6 linked regions of the Sus scrofa genome follow. The protein of the gene in region 4 interacts with the protein of the main gene of each other region in a biochemical or structural test. Links are inferred from orthologs where the notes say so. Each region holds a gene or a part of one and is shown on either strand. Other genes may lie near its edges.

Region 1 (4,260 bases), on a different chromosome or scaffold from region 4:
ATGCTTTTTGAAGAAAGTTACAAGAACTGGTTAAGGCGCACAGAAAAAGTTAGACTTGCTTTCTTCCAGAGCATTCTCTGCCCTAGACACAAAGCACCGAAATCACAACTCAGAAAAGAGAGAGGCTTGCAGATAACAGGAACCAGAACAGCCAGACCAGGGTCTCGGACTGTAATAGAAATATCACAGGAGAATGTTGCCATAACCTCCTCTTTCATAAATACAATGTATGTCTTGAAAATATATCCAAAATCTCTCCATCTGAACTACAGTACAAAAATCCACTCGCCAGCCATAAAAATAATATTTTCTCATGTACACAAATATAATTATATGTAAAGCAAATTTGGAACACAGGGATGGGGGGAGATTACCAATTCTCTGGGGATTGGGCTATTTAAAGCCATTTTTGTTTGGGTTATCCCTCTGCTGGGTCTAGGAAACTGGCTACAAATACATCCATCTCACAGTGCTCACCATTTCAACAGCTCCTGCGTCATGGAATGTGGTACTTTTTAAAAATAGGTGACCCTGGGTGTCATGGAAAGAAGAGGAAAGAAAAACTAGGGGATCAAGGAGACGCAGGAGGGGAGCAGTGAAAGAAGAAGGGGCGGACCTAGGTTACAGGGTGGGCTAGAAATACTCTTCGCCATGAAGTAGATCCCCAAGGTCAGGAGGCCCCCCGCTGTCCCCAGCTCTCTGCCAACTATCCACCTGCATCCCCCTTACAAATCTGTTTCCCGGCTGCTATCCAGGCAGAGGGCATACAGAGATCTCCGCAAGTCCACATTGCTCTTGGCCTTGAGGTTACACTTCTCTAAGGGGCAACTGCCCCTCCGGGATCCATCTGCATTATCCAGGGCCCCCACAGCCTTGCAGAGGGACCCCTTGCTCCAGCTGGCCTTCCGCTGGCCACCGCTGGCCAGTCCTGTCCCCTGGCTCTGGCTGCCCTGCTCTTCCTTAAGGGCTGCCTGCTCCTCGTGGTCCGTCTCCCTGTGGTAGAAGTAGTTGAAGTTGGAGACAATGACGGGTACAGGCAGGGCGATGGTGAGGACCCCAGCGATGGCACACAGAGAGCCCACGATCTTGCCCCCCACGGTGACGGGCCTCATGTCCCCATAGCCCACCGTGGTCATGGTAACCACGGCCCACCAGAAGCCATCCGGGATGCTGGAGAAGTGGGTCTCTTGGTTGTCGGCCTCGGCGAAGTAGACGGCGCTGGAGAAGAGGATGACGCCGATGAAGAGGAAGAAGATGAGCAGGCCCAGCTCCCGCATGGAGGCCTGCAGGGTCTTGCCCAGGATCTGCAGCCCCTTGGAGTGGCGGGAGAGCTTGAAGATGCGGAACACGCGGACCAGGCGGATCACTCGGAGGATGGCCAGCGACATGGCCTGCTGCCCGTTCTGGCCGCCCCCTCCCCCACCCCCTGGCTGCTGTTCCACCAGCTCGGTGCCCAGGGTGATGAAGTAGGGGAAGATGGCCACCACGTCGATGATGTTCATGATGTTCCGGGAAAACTCAGCCTTGCTGGGACAGGCGAAGAAGCGCACCAGAAGCTCGAAGGTGAACCAGACGACACACGTGGTCTCCACGATGAAGAAGGGGTCCGCCAGGGTCCTGGGCAGGAGAGGCGCCACTGTGGGACCTGAGGGAGGCGGCGCCGCCGCTGCCCCGCTGCCATTGGCCCCTGGGGCGGGTCCAGGGGGCTGGTGGTGCACCGGGGGATGGCGCAGCAGCTCGCGTTCATCCCTGAACTCAGGCAGGGTCTCCAAGCAGAAGGTGATGATGGAGATGAGGATGACAAGGACTGAGACGATGGCGATGGCCCTCGCGGAGCCCGAGCTCTCCGGGTACTCGAAGATCAGCCACACCTGGCGCTGGAACTCGTTGCGGGGCAGGGGCTTCTCCTCCTCCTTGATGAAGCCCTCGTCCTCCCGGAAGCGCTCCATGGCCTCGTCCCCCAGCTGGTAGAAGCGGATCTCATCCGCGAACACGTCCAGGGAGACGTTGACCGGCCTCCGCAGCCGGCCCCCGGACTGGTAGTAGTAGAGGATGCCATCGAAGCTGGGCCGGTTGCGGTCGAAGAAGTACTCGTTCCTCAGGGGGTCGAAGTAGCGCAGGCGCTTGGCGGGGTCCCCCAGGAGCGTGTTGGGGAATTGCGCCAGGGTGCCTAGCTGCGTCTCAAAGCGCAGCCCCGAGATATTGATGAGGACGCGCTGGTGATGGAGGGAGCCCGCGCCCAGCACCTGGTCCTCCGCCACGCCCAGGGCGGGGTCGCCATCTCCCTCCTCTTCCTCCGGAGGCAGCCACCTCGACTGCGGCAGCTCCTGGGGCGGCGGCGGCACCGGCCGGCCTCCCGGATCCGCGCGCCTCTCTGCTCCGCGGCCCCTTGGCTCCCGCTCCTTGGGTCCATCTCCGAGCGCAGCCGTCGGGGGGCAGCGGAGCTCTCCCCCTGCGGTGCCGGCCTCCCCTCCTTCCTTGACGATCATGGCACCGCCATTCTCCAGGGGCACCAGGGCGATCTCCATGGTCCGGGAGCGGGGGGCATGCTGCGCCCCTGCGGACTGACTCCCGCGCCCCCCTCACACCCTGCTGGGCGACCCGCGCCTGACGCCTCTTCTGCTGGCCGCCGGCACGGCTGTGGGGCGGGCTGGAGTGGCTGGCCGGGTCCCCTCGCTCGGTCCTGACGTCAAGAAGCCGCTGCCCTGCCCTCTGCCTCTCTGGGTTCTGGCAGCCCGTTACCAAGCAGCCAAAAGCCGCCTTCCAGCAGATGCAACCTCCAGCCGCCCGGCGCGGCCTCCGCCCCGCGCGGCTCCCCGCCCCCTGTCGTCCTCTCCTTCCCCCGCCTCCCCTCCGGGCTCAGAGGCAGCGGGAGTCTCCCCGGAGGGCGCAGCTGGGGCCCGAGCGAGGAGGGAGGGGCTGAGCGGGGCTCCGCCGGCGGTGGGAGGAAGGAAGGGAGGGAGAGAGGGAGTGGGGAGGATGGAGGAACAGGTTGTACCGAGAGCGCTGAAACTCCAAGGGCAACCAGATGAGAATAGCTCTGGATTTCAGTTCACCTGGGAAGCCCGCTGAGCGCCGATGGGCTCAGGGGGAAATGAATTGCCCTTGGAGGGATGATTTTGAGATGAGAGGGAGTATGAGAGAAGGCAGTGCTTTTTACGTTTCTCCCTTGGAGGAATAAAGGGTCTCTCTTCTTTGGGCAGAATTACAAACAGGAGGGGGCAGGATAGTTATGGACCTTGGGAAAAAAAAATGTATATATATATGTCTGTATCTCCAGATTGAAGGTGAAGCATCTCTTTTCCCATCTCCCTGCATACATTGGTACCAAAAGGTAACTGAGGGAAAATTTAGTGTGTCCTGCCGCTTAGTAAAGCCCCCATTCCCAGTGCAGACAGCGGTGGTCAGAGGGCAGATGCCACCCAGCAGCCCTAGGCAGCCAGCTGGGTCTGGGAGATTCGCTGCCCTGACGCTCACAACCTCGCTGCTCTCCCCACAAAGCCATTAGCAGAAACCATGAGCAGGGAAGGGGAGGAGGGAGAGAGAGAAGCTGGTGAGAGTGGTTTCTGCCTGGTGAAGCTGGGAGCCGGAACCAAAAGCACATCTGTGTAGGGAGTTGGGGTGGGGGCTCTTCAGGAGAGGGAGCCCCGGAGCTTGTGGAGTGCCCGGGGCTGGAGAATTCTCAGCAGTAGAATAACAATCCATACATACTTGGCTCTTTTGTTGTGTCAGGTCCATTTTCAGCACTTTACAAATATTGACTGGCCTATTCCCTTGGCAACCCATTTTCTCAGCAATGTTATTATCTCCACTTTTTAGAGACAAGGAAAATGAGACACAGAGAGATGGACTAACTTGCCTAAAGTCACACAGTTAGAACACGGTAAAAGCTGGGATTTAAACCCAAGCAAGCAGAGTTCAGGACCCTGTTCCTGTCCCTGTGCTCCTCTCTAGAAATGAGTCACCCCCTTTCAGATATAAGGGTAAAAGAGTTCCTGCTCCCCAACATCTGGGCTGACAGTTTTCGTTCCTCCTGCGGGAGGCAGGAGGGTGGCTAAGAGGACAGCTGAGTGCTTCTGGGTTAGAGAGCCAGGCTATCCGGCTCGCCCTAGCCCTGCTGGGTTTTAGCGAGGAGCATCCGTCCAGAGAGAAATATGCTTCAAGGCAAGTCTGGCCCATCCTGGCACAGCTTCCAGACGTGTTTTTGGTTTTACATTACCAGCAAGTCTCTGTCTTCGAATATCTGTTTGATTGTCTATT
Region 2 (3,500 bases), on a different chromosome or scaffold from region 4:
AAAAATTCAAATTTATCAACAGAATCAAAATTTTTAACCAAGATTTTCTTCTTGCCATATTTTAGGAAATTATAAATTTGGAATTTGGCAACATAATAGTTCAAAAATATTATTCATCTGGTTATGATTCCATGCATAACTTTATTGACTGTAATTTTGTTTGGACCAATTGTAGGCTCCCAAATTTCCTATTCTGGCAAACCCAGGTGAATAAGCAGAAACGTAAACAGGATGAGAGGATTGCTATCTTTATTCTAACTAAAAATCCTGCCTATTGCTTTATTTTTAAACTGCCACTAACATGTTTAAATTATAATTGCATCTTCTCAATGAGCACAGTTCCTCATTATTGTAACTGGCAGGGGGCCTTGGCATTTGAGTCATCATTTCATTGTGTCTATTTCTTACCATGGTATACAAATTAAATAGACATTCAAGCCAGATGAAATATAGGAGGAAAAATCTGAAGCAGTAACTTCAAATTGAATTAATTTTTCTCAAATCTACAAAATGTATAAAGCAATTAACAGTTGGTAATAATATATTCTACTTCAGGCACATTTTCAAAAACATTAACTTCAGTTCTCAGGCCAAATCTCTCCAAGCCGAATATTGTAGTTTTGTAAAACAAAACCAACAGCTTTAATATTTCCTAAATTGAATGATAGAATAATCCTAGTGTATTCTGTATTCTCTCAAAGAATGAACATATTCTCAAGAAATGTGTTTTTATCAATACTAAAGTTTAATCAGAAGAGAAGTCTTAAGATAGTGACTTAATTTTTAACTTTTAGAAAATACATTATTCTGCACCTTAAGAAAAAAAAGGATATAAACCATATGTTCCTAGATTATGAAATTTAGAGCATAACATATTCAAAGTATAGCTAGTGTTTTACCCACATTTATTTAGGTTATCCTTCCCACAATGTTGCAATCAGTCTTACCATTTCTGTCACAGTTTGACTTAAATCAATGGAAATATTCATGGATTTACAGTATCAGGTTGTTAGTGAGTCCTATCATTTTTATAATTACTATGGCTAGTAAAAATACATTTCTTCTTTTTATATGATGAAATAAATTAATGAAAGGGATTATGCAAATGGCTGGGAATAAATCCAAATCTTTTTTGATATGTCCAGGGGCCAGTAATTTTCTAAATGGCACACTAAGCTCTCTTGCCTAAATAATTACAAGTACTGCCAGCATGTTATCTACTGAAACAATTATGTAATCTCCTAGTTCCCACCACCCACATCAAGTCACTTACCTTTTCTTTATTCTCAGTGCCAGAAGCCTCAGGCTTGGTCCTGATCACAAACGGAGTAGACAGTCGCAGCAGGACCCTTTCAAAGGTGGCATTAATCTTTGGAGAAACGATCTCGAAGCAGTCCTCAAACATAAGCACTTTGTGAGTGTCACATCGGAGCTGTTTCCTTAGTCCTTCTCCCAGCTGAAGGACTGACATGTGGGGGTCAAACATCAAGTGGAAAGGGAAGGCTCTGCAGAAGGTGTTGATGCTAATTCTCAGGTCTGCAGGAACTTGGGAGGTTCCCTGTGGAAGGTTCTTCGTGATATTAGTATTTTCACATTGTTTGATAAGGAAAGAAAGACAGCTACAGTTGCCTGGGTTTGAACCATCTGAGCACAGTTTCTCATTTGCAACCTGATCAACTTCTACATCCAGCCGATAGATCTTCTTTCCTGCAGCTTTAATCATCCCAAGCATTGCAAATCCCACAATATGGTGAGGGTGGAAGTAGTGAAGCATAAGAGTACCTTCAGGGAGCTCTTTGCATAGGAATGACGGAGACTCCAGAGTGGCCTGTTTTCCAAAAGAAGTTCTAATGTGTTCCAATAAAGCATCAAAGCCATTAAAAAAGTCCTGCAACGTGCCACCTACAGCTCGAAGAACTCTTTCATTCTCATCGAAGCATATATTAAAGAACTCCTCACCAAATCTTTCTTGAATTTCCTCAAACTTCAAACCTAGAGACAAATGGAACCAAAAGTTAATGAAGTACAGCATAAGTAATTGAATTTATAGCTTTTGTAATGTTTATCAAATGAGGTAGCTAGTGAGTGCAGCAAGAGAGGTATTTCCCTTTGAGAACCTCAATTACTCAAATAGTTTAATTCATATATTTTGAGTTAAAGAAAGAAAAATTTAGTATGTTCATGATGCTTTTGAGATGTCAATAAGCATAAACTTTGGCTGTTGTTGTTTGTTTTTAATAAACTTTATTTTTAGAACAGTTTTAGATTCATAGCAAAACTGACCAGAATATAAAGATATTTTCCAAGTACCCCCTGTATCCCACACACACTACCCCTCATAACTATCGATATTGTGCATCAGTGTTATGTTAGTTACAACCAATGAACCTACACTGACATATCAATATCACCCAATAGTGTTTATTCTTGGTGTTGAGCATCTGAGTTTTGACAGATGTACAATAACATGTGTTCACCATTATAGTCTCTGTGCTCACTATTATAGTATCATACAGAGTATTTTTTCTGCCCTCAAAATTCTTTGTGCTCTACTCTACCTATGCATTTCTCCTTTCCCTCAACCCCTGAAGCACTAACTTTTTAAATGCTAAGCTAGCTATACTCTTTTCTTTTCAATACCCTATTCCATGTGTTGTAATTATCATGAATAATATATCTTCCTTAATGATTTCCCTCATCTTTAAAGAATTTGTGAGGCAACTATAAAATTGTCTCCATAATCATGTCCATTCAATATTACTATTTTGTTTACCAAAATTCATTTGTTAAGTGGGAAATATCAACCAGAGAGGGAATCTATAGTACATGGGCAGAGAAAGGTATCAGGTTATCTCATGTAAACAGAAGGACTTAAATTAGTAATCTCAGAGAAAGGCATGAAGGTCAGCTAGACCCCAGGAAGAGAAAAACAAAACAAGGAAATAAAACTGTGAAATGATTTGCATTCATTCTTTCACCTACAAAAATAAGAGAAAATAAAAGTGGAGTAAGAATCTGAACAGACAGAGTTAAAGGCCATTGTTCAGTTTTCTCAGTTCATATTCTTTCCCAAATGCCATAGTAAAAGGAAATCTACTTTATAACAATGGATTATAATAATTTATAACAAATATGCATACAACATGTTATATGATAATTAGAAGCAGAATAACCTGTGATCTAGTTAGATCAACACTTGAAGATGATTAAAGGAAAAATACAGAGGAAACATATTGGTCCAAAGAGGAAGAATGTATACAGCACAGATAAAAGAGTTGAGTCGGTATCCTAAGAAACTTCTACGTTAACACATGCTAGAGCTTCTCCTTTGACTTCAGCTGAAATCAAAACATCTATTCTACATATTCATATTTTATTGTCTCACCTATCCCATCTTATAAGGAAGTCCTAAACGTTAGGACAGAAAAAAAAAAAAAAAAACAGGTCCCTTTGCTAGTGTCCCATTAGAATGCAAAGCAGTCTAGGCTGTCTTTAAGACT
Region 3 (3,500 bases), on a different chromosome or scaffold from region 4:
GAAGGCATGCCTCCTCGTCTCTCCTTCCCAGGCTCTGTCAAAGCTACACTAGGGGTAGCAGAAAAACAGAGAGAACCATTAAGCATCTCGTAGGTGGTCATTTTTACTAAATCTCTATATCATATCTGTCATCTCCTAAGGAAGTATTCTAGAAGGGCTGCCATCTGTCAGGGTCAACCTGCTCTCCAAAGACTGCCTCCTGAAATCTTAGAATAGAGTTTGACTTTAATACATTTTAAGAAACACCAGAATTGGTTGCTTCTTAAACTACTGACTCACTTGGCACTGTTTGGAAACTGCAAATATTTTAAGGGAGACAGTGGAATTTCACAAATTGCCTTGTTCCTAATACTTGTCTGTTAAAGCTTAGACACATAATTAGAAAACATACATCTCACATATATAAATATTCAAACATATTTATGATATTTAAGTTTCATTTCAAGAAGTTAGGTTAATCCTGGCATCAGTTACCTTTCTAAAAAGAAGCGGCCTCGTATAATTAATGCAAATTAAATATAGTAACCTTTTTAAAAGACCCCATGAGGTTTGCCTAGTATAGGGTTTGAAATTGAGACACTTGGCAAGTCCCAAAAAAGTTGGCGTGTGAAGAAAATAATCTCCATCTCACAGAACTTTTGTGAGAAGCAAGAGGTAAGTTAGATGAACGCTCTTTGTAAACTGCAAAAGATTAAACAGCGCACTTCAGTTAGTTTAGAGGTGAATATGCTTAGTTGGGTGATGAGTTAAGTAACATTCATAGACGGGTTTCCCAAGGCAGGTGAAGCCAGGGGTGAGTCTTGAGAAAAGAGATAATCTTAAAAAAGGGCAGGAATGGAAATTAACCAATATAAGGTCCCACCACCATCTGCGGACCTATATGGAAAAGACCCTACAGAGGATACCATTTGAAATTGAAAAGTGTGAAAGAAGGTCTGCTTTTCCCACAGGATGGCTGGCCACGTGGATCAGGGAGACAGGTACCCAGGGGGTGGAAGAATGGTGAAGGTAGGTACAGAAGGTAGCTGTGCCTGTGTTTCTACCCATGTGTCTATTTTATTATTTGGGGGAAAATAAGGCAGCTCAGCATGCCAACCCCCCAAACCTTCCTGACACTGGATATGCCAGACACCTCAAGTTTGCTCATCTGGGAGAACCTTACAGAGTGTGGAGGAGTCTGTAAATACTGCTGAAAGGTAAATGATCTTCCCCAAGTCCTCCAATCTCCCAGATCCTCTGGTGCACTCTCCCTCCTTGTCTCTCAAAAGCGAAATGGCAAAATCAGAGATTTGATGTCTTGAGATGGAAATCAGAACTTTTGCGACTCTAGGCAATAAATACTATCTCGCAACTGAAAGTCACACTGCGTACTGCTCAAAGCCTATATTCATCACTTAGGGAAAAAAAAATTCCGCCATCAAACTCGAAAAGCAAGACAGAGCAGGAGTCTAAAGAACAAATGCCATTTCCACTCCTGCCCTGGTCTGGAAACTTCAGCATTTATGTCAACACTGGGGGAATCAATGGTTGCTACTTCACCTGGCTACAGTTCTGCAGCCTTTTAAAAAAATCCTAACTTTGACTTTTCTTCTGGACTTGGTATTTTTAGGTTTGTTGTAATTTTGGTTTATGTGCTTCTGGTGTGTAACACAAAGCACTAAATCCATCACTGCTGTACCTGTGGTTTCCTTAATCTTGGGGAGTCGATGACATCCGTCTCTCAAAGTGCCAAACAGAGGTTCGGCATTAATGGCTGTGTGCAGAGCAGGCACTGTCATCCGCGGACACATCCCTTCCGTCTGGGGGTGTAACTCCTTAAAGGTGGCTCCGTGGCCGGGAAGCCCTGCGGCTCTCTCCTCTGGAGGAATGTAACTCACGCCTTTCCCCGAAGTCTCAGGAATCCGGTGCTTCCCCATGGAGGGGCAGAGTGGGGACTCCATGGGTGTGGCACAGGTGCTGCTGCTGCTGCCCGTGCCACAGCCCGCATCCACTGAAGAGCCCTGAGAGCTCTGCAGGGAAAAGTGGCCCTCGCTTTGCAAGGACGACATCCGCTTGGCCAAGTGGTAGTCACAGAGGCGCCCAACGCCTTCTTCTGCTTCGGGGAGCTTGGAAGGATGGTCACAGGCCGCCGGGTCAGCATCCTCCGGGTTGTCTAAGTCTTCAGCGGAAGACACGCAGGTCACATCAGTTAAGAAGTGGTCCCGTTGGCCAAGTCCTGAAACCTCAATGGCTTCTCCATCGGGAGTCCCGTCGTCCTTCCCTTCGGCCTCCCTTGTCCCCACACCCGAAGCTCTTGGAAAGGTTATCCCTGTGGCTGCTTCCAAGCCACTTTTTTCAGCCTCGGTGGCCACGTACCATCTTTGGCTGTCCTTGCGGAAGGCAGTTCTCTCCAGGTTAAAAGTGCTGAGGTGTTGACTGTCCCTTGAAGACACAGGACCGAACTGACCTTTGGGGCCCTCCTCCGCCTCGGGTGCTTTGGTCCCCTGCTGTTTTTTCCCCGGCATGCTCCCATTAAGGGCTGCTTTCCCCTCCCCGTCAGCCGGCTGGCTTTTCCTTTTGCTGGTGCAGGAGTATGCCATTGAGCCGATGTGCAGCTTGCCAAAATAGTCAGTGACGGACTTGGTCTCCATGGTTTCAGGCTCCATCTCCATGTGGTCCGAGTGAAGTATCTGCTTGGAAGGCACAACTTTGGGTGGAAGGTCAGTCACGGGACGGGCGGCCAGAGCGTGGGAGGCCTTTGGGGGCAAGCCTCCGGCTGGGGTTTTGGAAGTGGGGAATTCTGTCTGCTCTTCTGCGAGGGGGTGGTAGCCTTCGTGAGTGGCCAAGAACATGCGGGAGAGGTTTTCTGACTGCTTCTGTGCTGTGGCCAGTTCGGAACTCTCAGTCATTTCAGAAGAGTTAGTCTCATTGCCCGAGTCTGACGAGGACTCGGGACTATAAGCCCGCAGGATGGCTACACCTGCATGCCGTGAGAAACAAGAAGCGGTTAATGGATGCGTCACAGGCACTAGGAGACATGTAAGCAAATGGGACTCGTTACTATTACGACAAATACCAAGTTTTTCCCTTTGCTGTAAGGACTCTGAGTTTATTGCACAGCTGTTCCAGAGACAGGGGAAACAGAAAGGGCCACTTTTTTTTTTTTTTTAAATAACAACAAAGGAAACCATATACACAAAAAACCCATGGTGGTATTTTCAGCACATTTAGGAAATGGGACATGCGTGAAATGAAGGACATAACAGGACTCCAAGGGCAGATGGCTTGAAAGGATGAAATGATTTGGCTATCAGTGAATAAACGTAACAATCGTGAAAGAACCTGAATTGTCACTGGTCTGCTGTTCTTCGGACACGGACAGAGCCTCGAGCGCATCCAGCGTGGAAACGACGCTGTCCTCCAGGCCCTTCTCACACTTCCCCTCGGCGCTGGTGGGCACAGCGTCAATGAGGGACACGGGGATCTCGTCGCTTTGCAGAGTGCTGCCTGGCTCCTTGTCC
Region 4 (3,500 bases):
AGTGGGTTGAAGAAGTGTGATTTGGGCACACAGAATCTTGAGGGTTTGAGGATGAGGTCAGGGAGCCAGAAATTAGGATGGAGGCCAAGAGCAGGAGACTGATAAAGGAAGGGGCCGGAGGGGAGGGTGAGGACAGGGAAGGCCATGGGGAATGGAGGCTGGGGTTGGAAGATGGAAATTGAAAGGTGGGGCAGAGCTGTAGATGGAGGATATCACACAGGGCAGGGGCAGGGAGGGGGAGGGGACACGGCTGGAAGTAGTTGCGGATGAAGGACGCGGCCTGGGGAAGGAAGTTCTAGGATCAGGATGGGGATGGCGACTGGGGATAGGCTGTGGGGTAGAGGATGGGCCTGAGGATGAGATTTTGGCAGTCAGCGGCTATTGGGCTATTGGCTGGACGGTAGCATCTGCTGGGATGTGAAGGGTCGGAGGATGGTGGTGATAGATGTGTGCGTATGAAATCTGTTAAAGGGTTTGAAAGTGCGTAGTATCGAGAAGTAGTAGGAGAGAGGAGGGACCCCTTTGGAAGGAGAGATCGAGGAGTCGGGGAATCCGTGACGAGTGCCTCGCGCTTGGTAGGCTCCAAATACATGTTTGCTTAAGGAGGAGATAGGTTGGGGACCCCGGAAGGCGGCTTTTGGCCGCCTTCCTCCATTGCCATGGAAACGTGGTTTCGGTTGCCCTGGCAATGGGGGAAGCCCCTAGGACCAGCCTAGAGCTGGCCCCGCCCTGAAGTCTATAGAGACCTTGCTGCGCCGAGGCGACTGACGTCAGGGACCTGGACACTCCCCGCTTTAACCCTTTCCCGGATGAGGTGGGGGTGGGGAGAGAGATGAGAGGATAAGACCCGGATGTCTTTCACCACTCCCCTTTTTCTGACGTCCTTTGCACTGCGTAGGGTGTGGGGCGTAGGGGAGGGAGGAAGGAGGTTACTCAGAATGTGCTGCGCCCACAGACCCCTGAACGGGGACTTCTTTCTGCCTGGCTAACGGGGGGCGGGCCCCGGGGCAGGAGAGGCGGAGCTAGCGGATCCCTTCGGCCTTTGGGAGTCTGGTTGCCCCAGGCCACGCCCCATCTCCCCCTCCCGTTGTCCTGACGACAGGGCCTCCAGGAGGTGGGTCTCCCTAGGCCTTGGCTGGGCTTAGATACCGTTGCTAGGCAACACGGTCCCTAGAGGAAGGCGTGGATTGAATGGTGGGTGGGCGAGGGAGAGGGTGGGGCCCGCATCTGGGGGATCCCCGGATTCCTGGGGCCCAGGGTTTGGGGCAAATGTGTGTGAAAATGAGGGGCAAATCTGAGGTAGGGTTATGAAGGTATCTGAGTGTATGTGGGCAGATAGGGACAGGGATGGGGGCAGGAAGGGAGGGCGGACCCAGTGGACCTAAGTCCTGGGGGGTGTGTGTAGCGCATAAGGCATATAACACTCTCTGGTGTTACATCCGGTGAGAAGATTCTTCTCCCCCCCACCCCCCGTCGGTCCCCCCGCCCTGACTCTTCACCATCTGCTGCTCCCCCATCTGGCTGTCTCTCCCTTCCTGCTTCTCAGACACCTCCTTCCACATGCAGGGGACCTGGGCTGGGCAGAGTTGGGTCCAGCACGTGTGCACGTGTGTGTATGTCACGTGGAGTGAGGCCGAGTCCTTCAGGGAGTCAAGGGTAGCAGAGCAGGCTAGATTAAGTGGGTAGGCATTCTCCCGGGCACAGCAGGTTAAGGATCTGATGTTGTCACTGTAGCAGCTTGAGTGGCTGCTGTGGCAGGAGTTCGATCCCTGGCCCGGGAACTTCCTCATGTCCTGGCCAAAAAAACTCCCAAACAAACCAGGCTGAGAGGGTAGCTGCGCTGGTGGGCCTCTTGCTTACCGGGTCTCCTTTTTTTCCTCACAGGCCAATTCTCCCCCAGTGATTGTCAACACAGATACCCTAGAAGCCCCGGGATATGTGAGTTGTTTAGATTTTGGGGCCATTCCGTAGGGAGGAGGGAGAGAGGGAGGGCCCGGGCCGCAGGGGCAGGGGTGGGCCAGGTTCCCAGGGAGGAAGTCTGTCTCACTGCTCTTGTGTTTCTGGCCGGTGCTGGAGTTGCAGGTGAACGGGACGGAGGGGGAAATGGAATACGAGGAGATCACATTGGAAAGGGTGAGCGGGCTCCTCCCCCTGAGGCCCTCTCCCCTCGCTCCCTGCCTGTGCTTCCCTGGGCCTGTGTTTTCTAGGTGGCGAGCCTCTCAACCCTGTCCCTTCCTGCTCGGCTCACAGCTTCCTGCCCCCCCCCCCCCCCCCCCCCCGCCTCCGCCACTCGCCCTGGCTGGAGTGGGCTGTGCAGGAAGCTGACCCTCTTCCCCTTCTTCTGCCCAGGGTAACTCAGGTCTGGGCTTCAGCATCGCAGGTGGCACGGATAACCCACACATCGGTGACGACCCATCCATTTTCATCACCAAGATCATTCCCGGTGGGGCTGCGGCCCAGGATGGCCGCCTCAGGTGGGCGGAGGAGACAGGGGTTAGGATGCTGGATCCCCTGACCGGGAGGGCCAGGGCGGCAGGAAGCTCCTGGCTCAGGCCCGCCTTGCTGTCTTCAGGGTCAACGACAGCATCTTGTTTGTAAATGAAGTGGATGTGCGGGAGGTGACCCACTCAGCTGCGGTGGAGGCCCTCAAAGAGGCGGGCTCCATTGTCCGCCTCTATGTCATGCGCCGGAAGCCCCCCGCCGAGAAGCTCATGGAGATCAAGCTCATCAAGGGGCCTAAAGGTAGTAACTTGTTGTGCCTCCACCCCCACCCCCCCATGCCAACCGTCCCCAGCCCCAAGACCTGCTCTCCAGGTACCTGGGCACCCACCTCTGCCCTCCGCTCCATCCAGGACTTGGCTTCAGCATCGCAGGCGGTGTAGGGAACCAGCACATCCCTGGAGATAATAGCATCTATGTAACCAAGATTATCGAAGGGGGTGCCGCCCACAAGGATGGGAGGTTGCAGATTGGAGACAAGATCCTGGCGGTGAGGACCCCCCATCGCTCTTCCAGCCCACACCCGGGTCCTGTGTGCTGGGCCCTGCACAGGGCCCGGGCTCCCTTTGCGGCTCAGCGGCAGGGCATCTGCCTTGAGGCGATTTCTGGTTCTGTCTGAGCTCTGCTTCCCTTGACCCCAGGTCAACAGCGTGGGGCTGGAGGACGTCATGCATGAGGATGCCGTGGCAGCCCTGAAGAACACGTATGATGTTGTCTACCTGAAGGTGGCCAAGCCCAGCAGTGCCTACCTGAGTGACAGCTATGCTCCCCCAGACATCACAAGCTGTGAGAGCCCTCCAAACCCCAGAGCTCCCCGTGCCCGGCCCGGTTCCCCCCGTGACATCGCTGGCGACCGTTCCTCTTCAGATACGTCCCACGAGCCAGCTACAACCTCTGTCACTTCCTGTGGCAGGAGAATAGATGGAAAATTGGTCACCTTAGCGGAACTAGAAAAGATTGTCGATAGGTTTCTTCCCCAGAGAAGGCGCAAGGCCCAGGTG
Region 5 (2,805 bases), on a different chromosome or scaffold from region 4:
CAGAAATCTGGCTGTGGCCTCAAGTGTATTCAAACCATGGTGGCTTGGATGGGAGGGAGTCATGAAGATGGAGGAAGAGGTGTACGTGTGAAAAAGAGAAGGATGAGATGAGAGAATGAGGTGTGCTTACCAACCTTTCCCCATCCAGAGGATGGAAGAGATCTTAGAGAGTAACAAGAAGAAAAAAAAAGAAAAAAAAAAAAAAAGAGGGAAAAGAAAACTGTTGGGCAAAGAATAGGAGTGTAAGACTTCTCAGTTGGTGCCCGTCAGGGGCATGGTGGTACCAATTCAGTCCTCCTCAAGGACATGAGGCTACTGTGGAAGTGATCTGCATAAACCATGGATGAGCTTCCGAGGAGCAGAGATCCCCAGGAAAGCTCCTGGGCCCCTGCTGTGTCGGCCCAGCTCAGGTGAGTCAACCCACGCGGACCCCTTACTGTGTTCATCCCTGCTAATCGGCCTTCTGTAAAAATGACATTGCAAATTCACCTGTAGCCGTCTATTTTGTTCTCTTGCTGGTGAGGAATAGGAACTGATGTAAATTGGTGAAGGTTTGCTGGAGCCTGTAAGAAAATATTTTATGAAATTAAAACTAGTGCTCATTACTGCGGTCCATTAGGTGGTGTGGACTCCCTGACAGGCCCTGGATTCCCCCGCTGCCAGCACAGACCCGGACAGTCAGCAGCTTGGGTTCCCTGGATGAAGCCTGCCTGCTGCTTACCCCAGGGCTATTCAGTAAAGGCTGATGAATATGCCAAAAAAAAAAAAAAAAAAAAAAAAAAAAAAGAGGCTGTGTGTTTTACCAAAAAGCAATGCTAATGCATAGCTCATCCGCAAAGGGTTCCTTCTCAACCTCTGGTCACTGTGGGGAGCACTGAACTGGTGGCTCTTGACAGCAGACTTGTCCCCTGAGCCGAGGAACGTGGCTTTTCCAGGGCTCTGAGCTAGTGCACTGGGTCAGATGCGGGAGGGAAATACAGCAGAACAAGCTCCGGGCCTTTAGAACAGCTTTGATTCAGAATCCCAGGTCTGGAAGGAGCAGGCACAGGTGTGTTCCAAGCAGGGTGGCCGCATGGAGGCCATGTTTAAGTATGTTTTGAAACAAAAAGAACCTGGGTATCAGAGAGCTGTCTTTAGGAGTCTACGGCAGATTCCTGATGCTGTCACTGGTTACCCTTCTAGCATTGTTAAGGCTAGCAGAGATTTTATTTTATTTTTTAATGAGGAAAATGAAACATATTTGAGGCAAATTAGTTTATTGAAGCAAGCAAAGAAGATACAGAAGGGCGCGCATGCTAAGGAGGCGGTCTTTAAAATAAAGCAGGCTGCTGCAGACCTGAAGCACCAATGCACTTCGGTTGGTCTGTGCATTTCCTCTGCAAAGAGCTTGATGTCTGAAATGTAGCATCTGCAATTTTCTGAGCTATTAATTGCCATAGTAACAATAGTCGATTAGTAAACAGTCCTGTGAAATCACAATTTCAAAGACAACAGCACAACTGAGACTGCTCCCCCAGCAGTTGTTAAATTGCCACCAGCTTTTATTTATTTCTTTTTAATAAATAGGTTTTTTGAGAAAGGAGTTTTCTTTTTTTTTGGTAGCTCACACTGCCTTATTTGAAGCCTCTAAAGTGGTTCTAATTTGCAAGATAGTTGAGAATGGAGACAATATGAATCTTGGTAACCCTTCAGGTTGTCATTCTTTAAATAATATGCATGGCTTTCTGAATAGGACATAAAAATATTAATGCTATACAACATCACTTTTGTTATTCTTAAAAAATAGTCACTCTGAGGAGACTGTATATTTTGTTATTCATTCAAACTCTTTCCCATGAGAATGTAAATGGAATTGATCTCCATCCGCAGGTTTGAATTTATGAGCTGGTCCAGGAGATGTGGCCCTGCCAGGTGTCACAGAGCTCAGGGTTCGGGGACCCCGGAACACACAGCGCAAGACTGCTCGGGCAGGGTGGGGCAGGACAAAGGGCCAGCGCTGCTGCGTAGCCAGAAATGCTTTCTCATTTGGAGACAGTGCTCTTTTTATTTGTGGTCACCAGACCACCACCTTAGCTTATTTCAAGTAAAACAAGCAAAAAGGCAACAGCCCCTGAAGCAGAAGATGAGAGGCTGGACCAGTGTTTGCTGCTGGGGGACCATCTCATTGCAGGCAGAGGTTACCTCCCAGGCCACTGGCCGTGTGCCTGGGGACCCGCGGCTTTTCGAGATACTCTATCACACACCCAACTGGCGTCTTACCAGGGTACAGGCCTCTATGAGTGGCATCCCCTTGGCTACTGTAATACTGCATAGGTGGCTGGGTCCTATCGTATTCAGAGCGAGGGTCTCTGATTCCTAACAGTGCTGGTGAGGAAGAGGTGCTGCCGACTGAAGGGAGAGGCAAGAGGAGGGAGGGGGAGAGAGAGAGAAAGAGAGAAGAAAGAGAAATCAGACTGTCAGTGTCTCTAGAAAGTCCTCTCTGGAAAAACAAAGTAATTAGAAGTGCACGTGCCTGGCACTACAGTCAACTCTTAGAGGTGCTGTGATTAAAGGGCAGCCAGCCCCAGTTCCTGGAAGGTGACCTGCAGGTCGGCCACTGCAAGGATCAGCACTGTCAGCCACCACATTGGGCAGGGATCGTGCAATTTCTCCACTGAGATGGGGGGGGGGTGTCTCAATGACCTGCTTAAGCCTTTGAAACTGAGGGATGGTAATTCCCAGTCGTGCCCAAGTTCCATTTGCAACTTTATGATCTCAGTTCAGTTGCTTGTGTTACACCCATCTATTATCCTTTACGTATAGTTC
Region 6 (3,500 bases), on a different chromosome or scaffold from region 4:
GATAAGACATTCAACTGATGCCACCAATTAATTCCCCCCACTAATCTTCTCATGAAGGAGCCATCCTACCCATTTTCCTTCCCCTGTAGGTCTCATTCTATCTCCTGTGGACTCCATGCCTCTGTCTGAACTAATCTGTTTGGAAAAGATGCAAAGGGTTGTTTACTCCAAGAACAGTGACTTCTGTGCTAGGTGAAATATTTTCATTTCTATAACCCTGATAACTCTGAGGTCTGTTTTGCTGAGGAAAAGATAAACATTGTAGAAAAGAATTCTTCTAAATGCGTTTTCTAACAGTTGCTGATCCAGAGGATTAAAAGTATGATGCTTGCCTGTTTCTCAAATCAATGATAAATAAACCATGTTAGGGACAAGGAAATCGGGGCATATGAAAACCAAGAGATTGCTTTTTATCCTCCAGGGGAAGACATGATATTTAAGCCCACACTGCGTGAGTGTCCATCTAACATGTTGTAAGGGTCTAGAGCACATACGCCATGCTCCTTTGCAGACACTACCTCCCAGAACTCAAGTCTGATTTTCCCTCTCAGGTGAGAGCCTCCTGTGTTCCCATGGAAACTACTCTCTATTACCTTCCAGTGCTCCAGGCACTCCTGGATGCCATCCATGGGCTGGTCCCAGAGTTCAACCTGGCCCATATCACCTCCACGTCATCTATAGCATCTCCTCTCCCACTGCCTTCAGGCCAAGCCAGCCATCTACCTCATGTCAGCAAGGCTGGTCTCTACCTCACTGCCTTCCTAGAAAACACCTGCGTTTTCCTAGAAAATCATCTGATTTGGCCAAATAAGTCACAGTACACATTTCACCTAGATATTACTGTCTGGCTAAATAACCTGGAGTTACAGGTTTTTTCCCCAAAGCAGGTTCAAAAGACGATAAACTTTTAGCTCAGTGTCGCCTAGGAAAACACCCGACCACGACCTGAAAGAGCAATTAAACCCAGGGGGTCGGCATTAAGTCAATATCCATGGGAGGAAGGGATTATGGGGCTCACAAGCGCTTATTCATTTCATCTCTAGGCCCCAGCATCTGATCAAATGCCCAGTCCAGACAAAAGGGAAGAAATGAGTAGCTTGTCAGACCTGCTATAAAAGGTAAGGAGCCATTCTGACTCACAGAAGGCAGAAATCATTCAAGACAGCAAGGATGCTGGCCAAGGTCAGGGCCAGGCACAGGTCTTGGACATGAACACACCCTTTTCTGAGAGCATCAGCATCTCAAATTCCCTGTCTCTCATCCTGACTAGCACCACACCACAGGGTGGGCAGGCTTCCCACCTGCCCCCTCATCAGGCAGTGAGGGAACCTGAACTCTGGCCCAGCCTTGCGGCAAAGTCTCTTGAAACTTTTGACTGTCTGGATACAGCTGCCCCTTCGCCATTTCATAAATGGGGCATCCTCCAGACCCCCAAATCCCAGTCTGTTACACTGTGCAGAACACAAATACGAAATGAGGTGGCCAGATGTGATCACTGTGTCTGAGGGCCAGAGGGGAGCACATCAGATACCTGGGACAAGATGCCACAAGCTCAAGAGCAGGCAAGGAGTGGCAGTGCTGAGGATGCAGGACAGTCCACAGATCCCCAGGGAAGAAGTGGGCTGGGAACGGGCTCTAGAGGAGCTGGCTGGTCCCTGCAGCAGCTATCACACATTCACACAGGTGACCCCTGTGCCAGGGCACAAGGTCTAGAAGAGGACGCCAAAGACACCCAGGTACTGCCCAGTTTCTCTTTTATCCAAATGTACTGAGGAGTCCTAAAAGTCCAGACATTAAGGAAGGGAGCTTTGGTTTAGTGGGAGGGAGACTTTTCCATCACCCCTCCTGAATTATTCATGCTGTGTTGCCCTTCTGTGAAATAGCACGGATTGCGTTTGAAATCCCTTTCCTGAGCGCATATCAGACTCCCTGCACAGAGCTGCTAGAAGAGGCCTGTCATACCTGGGCTCACACAGGAAGGCTGTGTTTTCGCCATCTGCTCTCCAAACAAGCCACTCCCTGAAGGATGGGTGACAGAACATGCGAGTTTTGTCTCGCCTCTTGATGAGGAAACAGGAGAGGGCATCCATCCTCTGCTGGAAGTCCTCCCAGCCCTGCTCCCCTTGGATGTGGCCGGCATTAATTGCCTGGAAGATCTGCTCATCTGTCATGGGGTGGAGGGACGCGAGGGCCACGTTCAAAATCGGAAGCGCTCTCTCAAAGGCGGACTGGGTCATGAACTTCATGTTGCATTGAAGCAGGTAGAGTTCAGACAGTGACACAGGCACCACCTTGTAGCTGGCGCTCTTGATGACCAGGTGCCCCCTCTGGAAGAGGTCCAAGGTGAGCTTGAGGTACAGGTAGGAGCCCAGGCTCCGCAGCACCAGGTGGCTGCTTACTTTCCCAATGAGGGCAGCATCGGCCTTGCCGTTCAGGGAGATGTTGCTGAGGATGTCCTGGCTGCTGTGTACCCTGTGCTGCACGTAGGCGTGCAGGTCGCTGTGGATGTCCTTGTTGTCTGGAAAGTCATCTAAGGACAGCTTGACGAATGGCAGCTCACTGACAATTTCCTGCAGAAGAACGAGACCCACAGTGTCACTCCACAGAGGCTTCTTTTATGTCAGCTGCATTGCAAACCAGATCGACTAGTTCTCTTTCAAGGAGGATTTTCATGGATTACAGGGGCTCATTGTTTTGTATTAAAACACGTAATAGGATAAATGGAAGATAAAAAGCTTACGTGAAAGCAATGCCTGATGTAAGATCAAATCAGAAAAGGCTTTCCCGAGGCCCTTATCCAGGACACAGAGCCAAGCGAAATGGCAGAGCCTCGAGCACTCGGCGGCGACCTGGCTGCACCAGCAAAGGGGCATCGAGACCCCCAGGTGACCTGATATCCATAATCCTCACACTGTGTAACTGGTTACATAATAAGGACAGACACAATGCAACACTGTACATCTAAGCCCATGGCCAGACACTGAGATCAGATACCCACTGGCTACATAACCAAACCAGGATATCCGAAATTGCCCCCAGCCTGTACTCTGGTGACAGGCTGTGGTAAACAAAGCTGCTGGACTTCCATATAGCCCAACTTTTTTATTTGCTGGTTTTTAGTAAATATTTATTTATTTTTGTCTTTTTAGGGCCACACCCGTGGCATATGGAAGTTCCTAGGCTTGGGGGTTGAATCAGAGCTGCAGCTGCCTACACCACAGCCACAGCAATGACAAATCTGAGCTGAGTCTGTGACCTACACCACAGCTCATGGCAACATCAGATCCTTCACCCACTGAATGAGGCCAGGGATCGAACTCGCATCCTCATGGATACTAGTTGGGTTCATGACTGCTGAGCCACAATGGGAACTCCCTTAGTAAACTTTTAAATTGAAATACGACATACAGAGATGCACAAATTCTAACTGCATGGTGTCATTCATTTTCACAAAGTCACCACATATACCTGTGGGACCAGGAGGTAGACACAGAACCATA

Evidence for each region.
Region 1: the proteins of DLG4 (region 4) and KCNA5 form a complex in vitro, tested with the Homo sapiens proteins (2 studies listed by BioGRID and IntAct, with this or other methods). The link is inferred for Sus scrofa from reciprocal best matches to the Homo sapiens genes DLG4 and KCNA5.
Region 2: the proteins of DLG4 (region 4) and GUCY1A2 interact in a test that uses a peptide from one of them, tested with the Homo sapiens proteins (2 studies listed by IntAct, with this or other methods). The link is inferred for Sus scrofa from reciprocal best matches to the Homo sapiens genes DLG4 and GUCY1A2.
Region 3: the proteins of DLG4 (region 4) and FRMPD4 interact in a biophysical measurement, tested with the Homo sapiens proteins (2 studies listed by IntAct, with this or other methods). The link is inferred for Sus scrofa from reciprocal best matches to the Homo sapiens genes DLG4 and FRMPD4.
Region 5: the proteins of DLG4 (region 4) and PKP4 interact in a test that uses a peptide from one of them, tested with the Homo sapiens proteins (2 studies listed by IntAct, with this or other methods). The link is inferred for Sus scrofa from reciprocal best matches to the Homo sapiens genes DLG4 and PKP4.
Region 6: the proteins of DLG4 (region 4) and TANC1 interact in a test that uses a peptide from one of them, tested with the Homo sapiens proteins (2 studies listed by IntAct, with this or other methods). The link is inferred for Sus scrofa from reciprocal best matches to the Homo sapiens genes DLG4 and TANC1.

What each region holds. Positions count from the first base shown.
Region 1 is NC_010447.5:65,439,408-65,443,667, forward strand, and holds the start of KCNA5 (potassium voltage-gated channel subfamily A member 5), read right to left. Parts: upstream 2,801-4,260; 5' UTR 2,529-2,800; coding exon 726-2,528; 3' UTR 1-725. UniProt on the Homo sapiens protein: Voltage-gated potassium channel that mediates transmembrane potassium transport in excitable membranes. Forms tetrameric potassium-selective channels through which potassium ions pass in accordance with their electrochemical gradient.
Region 2 is NC_010451.4:62,206,081-62,209,580, reverse strand, and holds part of GUCY1A2 (guanylate cyclase soluble subunit alpha-2), read right to left. Parts: intron 1,993-3,500; coding exon 1,274-1,992; intron 1-1,273. UniProt on the Homo sapiens protein: Has guanylyl cyclase on binding to the beta-1 subunit. Isoform 2 acts as a negative regulator of guanylyl cyclase activity as it forms non-functional heterodimers with the beta subunits.
Region 3 is NC_010461.5:9,433,039-9,436,538, reverse strand, and holds part of FRMPD4 (FERM and PDZ domain-containing protein 4), read right to left. Parts: coding exon 3,322-3,500; intron 2,960-3,321; coding exon 1,679-2,959; intron 49-1,678; coding exon of another isoform or gene 44-48; coding exon 1-43. UniProt on the Homo sapiens protein: Positive regulator of dendritic spine morphogenesis and density. Required for the maintenance of excitatory synaptic transmission. Binds phosphatidylinositol 4,5-bisphosphate.
Region 4 is NC_010454.4:52,560,444-52,563,943, reverse strand, and holds part of DLG4 (disks large homolog 4), read left to right. Parts: intron 1-1,884; coding exon 1,885-1,938; intron 1,939-2,063; coding exon of another isoform or gene 2,064-2,073; coding exon 2,074-2,133; intron 2,134-2,349; coding exon 2,350-2,474; intron 2,475-2,572; coding exon 2,573-2,742; intron 2,743-2,852; coding exon 2,853-2,989; intron 2,990-3,140; coding exon 3,141-3,285; intron 3,286-3,500. UniProt on the Homo sapiens protein: Postsynaptic scaffolding protein that plays a critical role in synaptogenesis and synaptic plasticity by providing a platform for the postsynaptic clustering of crucial synaptic proteins.
Region 5 is NC_010457.5:65,675,781-65,678,585, reverse strand, and holds part of PKP4 (plakophilin-4), read right to left. Parts: intron 2,389-2,805; coding exon 2,260-2,388; intron 564-2,259; coding exon 490-563; intron 1-489. UniProt on the Homo sapiens protein: Plays a role as a regulator of Rho activity during cytokinesis. May play a role in junctional plaques.
Region 6 is NC_010457.5:66,112,168-66,115,667, reverse strand, and holds part of TANC1 (protein TANC1), read right to left. Parts: intron 2,571-3,500; coding exon 1,963-2,570; intron 1-1,962. UniProt on the Homo sapiens protein: May be a scaffold component in the postsynaptic density.